Saccharomyces cerevisiae S288C: one gene and its partner. Changing the gene in region 2 together with the main gene of any one other region gives a genetic interaction. Each region holds a gene or a part of one and is shown on either strand. Other genes may lie near its edges.

Evidence for each region.
Region 1: mutations in YKE2 (region 2) and PAN3 together harm fitness more than expected from each alone (negative genetic interaction), as found in Saccharomyces cerevisiae (6 studies listed by BioGRID, with this or other methods).

What each region holds. Positions count from the first base shown.
Region 1 is NC_001143.9:389,740-394,335, forward strand, and holds PAN3 (PAN-complex poly(A)-binding subunit PAN3), read right to left. Parts: upstream 2,541-4,596; coding exon 501-2,540; downstream 1-500. Other genes in the region: glutathione peroxidase GPX1, read right to left, coding at 1-144; URA6 (bifunctional uridylate/adenylate kinase), read right to left, coding at 2,787-3,401; MIN9 (Min9p), read right to left, coding at 3,407-3,634; SKA1 (Ska1p), read left to right, coding at 3,982-4,596.
Region 2 is NC_001144.5:547,048-549,856, forward strand, and holds YKE2 (tubulin-binding prefolding complex subunit YKE2), read left to right. Parts: upstream 1-1,964; coding exon 1,965-2,309; downstream 2,310-2,809. Other genes in the region: snoRNP complex protein NOP56, read left to right, coding at 1-564; PBA1 (Pba1p), read right to left, coding at 806-1,630, 1,717-1,722; ubiquinone biosynthesis protein COQ9, read right to left, coding at 2,464-2,809. UniProt on the Saccharomyces cerevisiae protein: Binds specifically to cytosolic chaperonin (c-CPN) and transfers target proteins to it. Binds to nascent polypeptide chain and promotes folding in an environment in which there are many competing pathways for nonnative proteins.

The sequences.
Region 1 (4,596 bases), on a different chromosome or scaffold from region 2:
CAAGTACTCTAATTCCTTGTATTGAGGTGTGAACGCACAATGAGATGCTACATTGACTATCAAAACCACTTTGTTACGCAGGGAGTTGAAGGGGAATGGATTTCCGTTTTCATCTATTGGTGAAAAAGAATAAAATTCTTGCATCGTTACTTATAAATATTGTGTTTCTCCGCTTATATTCCTTATACGGGTTCACAATCAGAGAACCTCGCCGTGCACAATATCACCTACATGACTAAAATATATTTGTACATTACTGTGTTATATAATCACTTAATATTGTTCACCATAAGCAATCTCTGTAGTAGAGGTGAGCCCCGGCTTTAAGTTCTCTTAGATGTGGCGAACAAGGGATGAATCGCTTACCCTATAGAATTAGGGAACAGAAGGGGAAAGCAAATACGGAAAATTTTCCACATGAAGACGGTAGTGGGGTATGTCAAGGGGATACTAATGTATAATTAATATATATGTGTGTATCTACATTATTTGGTGTTGTTTTATTGGGTGATGGATCGAAAGGTGGATTCTATCAAGTCCTTCAACTCCTTATAGGATATAATAATACAGTTTAACTCATCGGGCGTTACCAACATTAACTTTTCTTGAATACCAGCGTCTAATTTGTTCAAACATCTTAGGACATGAGTTAAATCCATTATTGGTTTCCCATTCGAATCCACTTGATGGAATACGTAGTCATAAAATAGTATAATGGGGAATTTAGTCCCAGATTCGGACCAATTTATGTCTATTCTTGATTCGATTCTACCAAAAATGCAATTTAGCTTGTTGACCAGCCTAAATAATCTGCCATTTTCTAGTTCTCTTGATAAGACAGACTCCATGTATTCTGTATAGGTTTGTGACGATTCCAGGACCATGAACATCTTATCATAAAAGTGACTAGTAAGATCATGAATGCTCTTTTTGGAATCGCCGTTGTCTGATATCAGATACTTGAGTACATCCTTGAACTTATCATCGATCTGTCTCATGTCATCAATTGATTGAGGGGTTATTTCCTCCAATCGATATTCTTTAGGGGCAGTGTTGTTATTAGAGTTTTCAATATTAATGGATAGGTTAAATAATAGCTCTCCTAAATATTTGTAGTCTAGCTGTTGTTGTCCCTCTATGGTACTTCCGCCGGAAGATACTACGGTATCAGTATCATCATTGAACAAAAGGTCCATAAAATTGCAGTGTGATAACTTGATTCTCCCTGGGTCCCCAGTAATCAAAACTTTTCTCCAGTTTAATGTATTGCCAATACTCAAGTTTTGTGAATGGATAGAGTTTATTACATTGGTGAGTTGAACTAAATATATCCATAAATAATTATTCGTTATTGGAAACTTAGGGAAATTAACAAAGTGGTAATCATACAAAGATAGCGAGTTTGGGTAGTAGTCAAAGACCAAACAAATAGACAGATCACCAAATTTAGTAGTTTGAAAAATGTCCCTAAACTTTATCAAATTTGTACAATTAATTTTTGACCATATCTGATATATTTTGGATATTTTGTTTGGATTCATTGACTTATCGATGTTAGGAAGCCTCTTCAAAACGTAGGCTTTACCGTCATAATTGGAAAAAACTTTGAAGAGCGTAGTTTTATTTAAAAAATCGTTATTATTGAAGTTCAATGGAACCAAATTAAAATAATCTTGTACAATACTTGGTATAACTTTACCTGAAGAGGGGAAAACCTGCAAAATCGATAAGTTTTTCTTGGTTAAATCTTCTCTAATATTGTTTGGAATGAAAAGCTGATCTGCAGACCTTTCATTAGGCTTTAATAATGATTTCAATGATGATGGCTGTTCAGGTGCATATAGGTGATACTGTAGAAGACTGTGAGGAGGCGGATAAATACGTGGGTACTTAAGATTACTACTCTCTATGGGTGGCGGTTGCATAGGAGGTGGCACATTATTAGCCATACTCATATTGTTACTATTATCATCAGTGGCGTTTATATTTATGCCACCAGAATTTGCAATGGAGGGAAATGGAAAAGAATGTGCATTTGCATTAGTGTGAATTGAGGAGGTTGAAGACGGAGTGAAAATGGGGGCATTGAAGGGGTCGTAATTGGAACTCGAAGCGGTAGTTGGTATTGATATGCTTATATTACTATTATTGTTATTGTTATTCACTAACGAGCTATTAACTATCGGATTAATCATCGGATTAACTGTAGAAGCAGTAGCAGAGGTAGCTGCCATGGCGATATTGCCAGTAGCATTTGTAGCAGCGGAGGTGGTATTCGTCACAGTGGTTAAGGAGTCACTACCGACTGTCATCGGAGTGAAACTTGCGGATACTTTAGCATTGAACTTAGGAACTGATGTCATGGTCGGAGTTGTAGCCTCACCCACATCTATTGGAGGAGGAACGTCATTTATGGTAGTAGCGGTAGTGTTATCGCTGTGTTTGAAAGGGCAACCTTCTTTCTCCTTTTTGCAGTAGCCATAAATAGTGATATTTCTGCACGGAATATCCTTCGCCCAATCAGGATTGATTTTGTCCATGGCGTAAGATACGTCTGACTAGTCTTTTAGGCTTACCTATCATCGAAACAGTGCTCCCGCCATTGTTATTATTGCTCTTTTAATTCATAAACCAAATAATTTAGCAGTTTATTTTAAGGTTACCCTGTAAAGGTCTGATATGTAGGGGAGGGCATATAATCATTTTAATATATATGTATATATTCTTACATATATATATAATATCGCCGTAACTTATAGCGTAAACTATATAAAATACGTCTTAGTCTATAAGCTATCACGGATAGCGTCTTGGACGTCTTTGTACACATCTTCGACGGATCTGTCGCAACGAACACGGACGACTTTCGATTTGGTTTCAAAGTACTCGATGACGGGCATACTAGTCTCCTTGAAAGTGTTAAATCTCTTCTTAATGGACTCAATGTTGTCATCGCTTCTACCACTGGTCTTGCCACGCTCCAATAGTCTCTCTAACATGATATCTTCAGGGCAGTCAAAGAACAGGATGAATTTGCTTTCAACGATGTCTCTTTCAAAGGAAATGGCTTGATCCATCTTCCTAGGAAATCCGTCAATTAAGAACTTATGCTTGTTCGCCTTGACGTTATCGGAAATAGCGTTGCGTAAAAGCGCCAAAGTAATCTCTTGAGGGACAATCTGGCCCTCTTTGATGCAGTTCTTGATCAATTCCCCATATTGGGAACCTGCTCTGCCCTGCTCAGCACGTAGAAGGTCTCCGGCTGACAAATGGACAAATGAATAGTCCTTAACTAGTTTTTCACACTGAGTACCCTTGCCTGCACCGGGTCCTCCTAGAACGAAGATCACGGAAACTTGGTCAGGCGAGAAAGCTGGCTGTGATGTAGTGGCAGCTGTCATTTGTCTTATTCAAGAAATTCAACTGGTTCGTTCTTTTGATAGTTTACCGAAATAACTGATGTCACGAGTGCTAAAGTTCCTACGAGTACCAACAATTTGCCTTTGTGTTTACCCTTGCTTTGACTTTTGTTAGCGCGTGGTACGTTTACGTTGGTCTTCGAAGGTGCTGTATTGTGGAAAGTTGGTTTTTTCGAAGAATAAAATCTCAGTATAAACCTGTAGCGTGGATTCATAATATAACTAAGCTAACATAAAAACGGGAGAGGGTGTGTGCGACTAAAGGCAAAGACAGGAATGCATCGCTTTAAAAGATCACCATAACTACTTAAAAGTTTCGTTAACGTGGTGAAAAAGAAAAGAAAAAGAAAAGTGAAAAAAATAAACCTAGGGTTGAAAATATAATCAGTTAGGTGTCATGATATTGATACATTTATTTCTATAGGTCTGAGAGTACTAACTTAGGGTATATGAGGGGTGTTAAGTTGGGATGATGACGCATTAATTAAGAGTTCATTATATGAGGATATTGTATACAATGCAAGAATAGCGCCCCAATCCCGGCCAGGTATAACGTGCAAGCATGAATAAAGAAGAATTATTGGGTTTTCTACTAGATGACAGTATTGATAGCCAAAAAAGATGCGTCACGGATCAGCAGGCCTACTCTAATTGGTTAAAGAATGATAATGATGAACGTACGGCCCATGAGGAAAGCTCTTCACAAAGTACGATAGCCGCATTGAATAAGAAGAAGCAGACAGAAGCTGCTCAAGAAGATATAGAAGAACTGTTAAACGGCTTAGAAGGCATTATTGGAGGAGCCGACCCCCGTAATCTCAAGAGTAAGTCAAAGAGGAAAACCAAAAAGGGCGGATCGAAACCAAGGGAAGAAAACGTGAATACGGAGAAACATATTGTAATGCTCGAGGTAGAAGATTTTAGTGATATGAGCACCCACGAAGATGTCAACGGAGCAAGTCCGTCGCCAAATCTGGACCGGTCGAAGAAGAATGAGAAGCGAAGGAAAAACGCCAAGGAGCTGTCATACGATGAACTAAAAGACAAACTAGAAGTTACCACTCGCAAATCACGTCTTGAGTGCAAAGACTTGAAAAAGAAAGTTCATGGGCTCGAAAGAAGGAACCTTGAACTTGAACAGCGTTTAGAAGAGCTGAAGATTGAGAACCAGACTTTG
Region 2 (2,809 bases):
CACGCAGGTTCCCTAACTAATTTATCTAAGCAAGCAGCTTCAACGGTTCAAATTCTTGGTGCTGAAAAGGCTTTGTTCAGAGCTTTAAAAACTAAAGGTAACACTCCAAAATACGGTTTGATTTACCACAGTGGTTTTATTTCTAAGGCCTCTGCCAAGAACAAGGGTCGTATTTCTAGATACTTGGCTAACAAATGTTCTATGGCCTCTAGAATTGACAATTACTCTGAGGAACCATCTAATGTTTTTGGTTCCGTACTAAAGAAACAAGTTGAGCAAAGATTAGAATTCTACAACACTGGTAAGCCAACTTTGAAGAATGAATTAGCCATTCAAGAAGCCATGGAACTTTATAACAAAGATAAACCAGCTGCAGAAGTGGAAGAAACCAAGGAAAAGGAATCCTCAAAGAAGAGAAAATTAGAAGATGATGATGAAGAAAAGAAGGAAAAGAAAGAGAAAAAATCGAAGAAGGAAAAGAAAGAAAAGAAGGAAAAGAAGGACAAAAAGGAAAAGAAAGATAAAAAGGAAAAGAAGGATAAAAAGAAGAAAAGTAAGGATTAAAAGGAACAATGAATCGAAATAAAGTATATCCCATCTTTTTGTGTACTTTTCTTCCCTTTAAAGTTTTTCATATATATATATATTATCTTTTATTCCCTTCTAATATTCTTCTTTAGGATTTGGAAGCTGTATATTGTATATTTAGAAATATTATTAAATAAAAAAGTCATATGTTATTTTGAGCTTAAGTACCCTCTTATGCCTCTTTCACTCGCCATTACTGACATTCTGTGATCGCCATTCATATATATAGGCCTGATTGTGCACCAATTGCCGCGCTATCACACCTCCATAAGCGATAGCATTCTTCAGAATATCTTGAAGGCTCAAAACCAAGCCATTGACCGCACAAATCAACTAAAGAACCCATGTCAGACAACGAAAGTTTCTCAAATCCATTAGGCCCCTCACTAGGCGCTACAAGACATTTAAATTTCAGTCCCTTACTGGGACCGACAATCAATTGTGTTAGCACACTTCCTATGAATCCCGTTATAAATTCTGGTGGTTGTAGTGTACATTCATTTTCCGTCATTACCTTCATGCTGGCGATTTTATCAGAGGTGCCAATTACTATTATATCAGGGGAGAACTGGGCTAACTGTGATATGATAGATCTACTTATCATGTTACCAAAAATCGGCGATATACTAATGAAATTCTCCTCCATAGAAAATAATAACGTCTTTCCAAATGAATAAATCGGGAAAGAAAAACCATATACTGTTTCATCGGCGGTGTCATTTTTTTGATCAGGATCAACCTCGTTTGGAAAGTTTTCGTCGTAATTCCACGAGTGTTTACCTGAAGATTGGGGAAGACTTGGACTTTTCACCGTCAATGTAGTTTTAATTTCACCAATAGAGGTTAATTGAAGCAGATTTTTGGGGAATAATGGGTTCATTATCTTAGTAGTAATGACGGCTGTCGAATATTGAGGAACATCCAAGTCCTGAGGAAACTCAACTTTTGGAACCGGGCAGACTTCTAAAGATTGCAGGTTTTTTGAAATCTCTGGGAGATCTAGCAGATGTTTTGGTTCTGGTAAGTCATTCCATTGTTTAAACTTCAAAAAGAATCAAGTAACATAAGTTAGTCAAACCACTCTACTCTAGCAAAATATGATGGGGAAAAAAGATTATTGTAACATACAAGCATCGCTATAAATGAAAATTTTACTGTAGTGCGATGATATCTTGGTCGCTGTTTCTTATTATTTCGCCTGTTGCCACCTATTGCCACGCAACTTCTTAAATTGATTTCAATGAAGTCTGAAATTTTGATGCGAAAGAAAAAAAAAAGTAAAGGCAATAAAACTTCATCAAGTCAAACGTCATCTATAAATAATCCCACTTCAGAATTGAAAAAGACTACATTTGAGTGGAGGAACAAAAGCAAAAATGTCTGAATTAGGTGCCAAATATCAACAGTTGCAAAATGAGTTAGAAGAGTTTATTGTGGCCAGACAAAAATTAGAGACACAATTACAAGAAAACAAGATTGTAAATGAAGAGTTTGACCAATTAGAAGAAGATACACCTGTGTACAAATTGACAGGCAATGTCCTTTTACCAGTTGAACAAAGTGAGGCACGTACCAACGTGGACAAAAGATTAGAGTTCATCGAAACAGAAATTACAAGATGCGAAAAGAACATAAGGGACAAGCAGGAAGAACTAGAAAAGATGAGAAGCGAGCTAATTAAACTGAACAATACAGCAGCTTCCACTGGCCCAGGAAGGTAAAACAAACTCACAGGTCCTCGGAAAGACAAGAAAGCGCACAGTACCAATAAATCTGCCCAAAATAAAATTTTCTTTTATATACAATTATGTAACTTACAAACAAAATACCTACGCATTTCACTGTCCTAAACTTCAAATTGACATGTAAGATTGCTTAACCCCTAACTAATTGAGATTTGATTAAATTTACCGTAGACATTAACGTATACCAGGCAAACTCTTCAGTATTGTTATAGTACTCACCCAAACGCATGACCCTATGTAATTTATCCTTTGCAAAAGTAAACGTTTCTTTGTAATTGTGGGATTTATCCTGAGCCATAAATAACTTTGAACCAATGTAGGTGCTCGAAACAGCCAATCTCTTAGCATACCATGCAGAATCATGGTGGTCCTTTTCGTTGGAAAAGTAAATCATATCATCGGACAATCTGTGTAGTTCAGGAATTGCAGTTTCAAAGAGAAAGGCGCTTGGAATAGCCAATTGTGACATTAGTTCC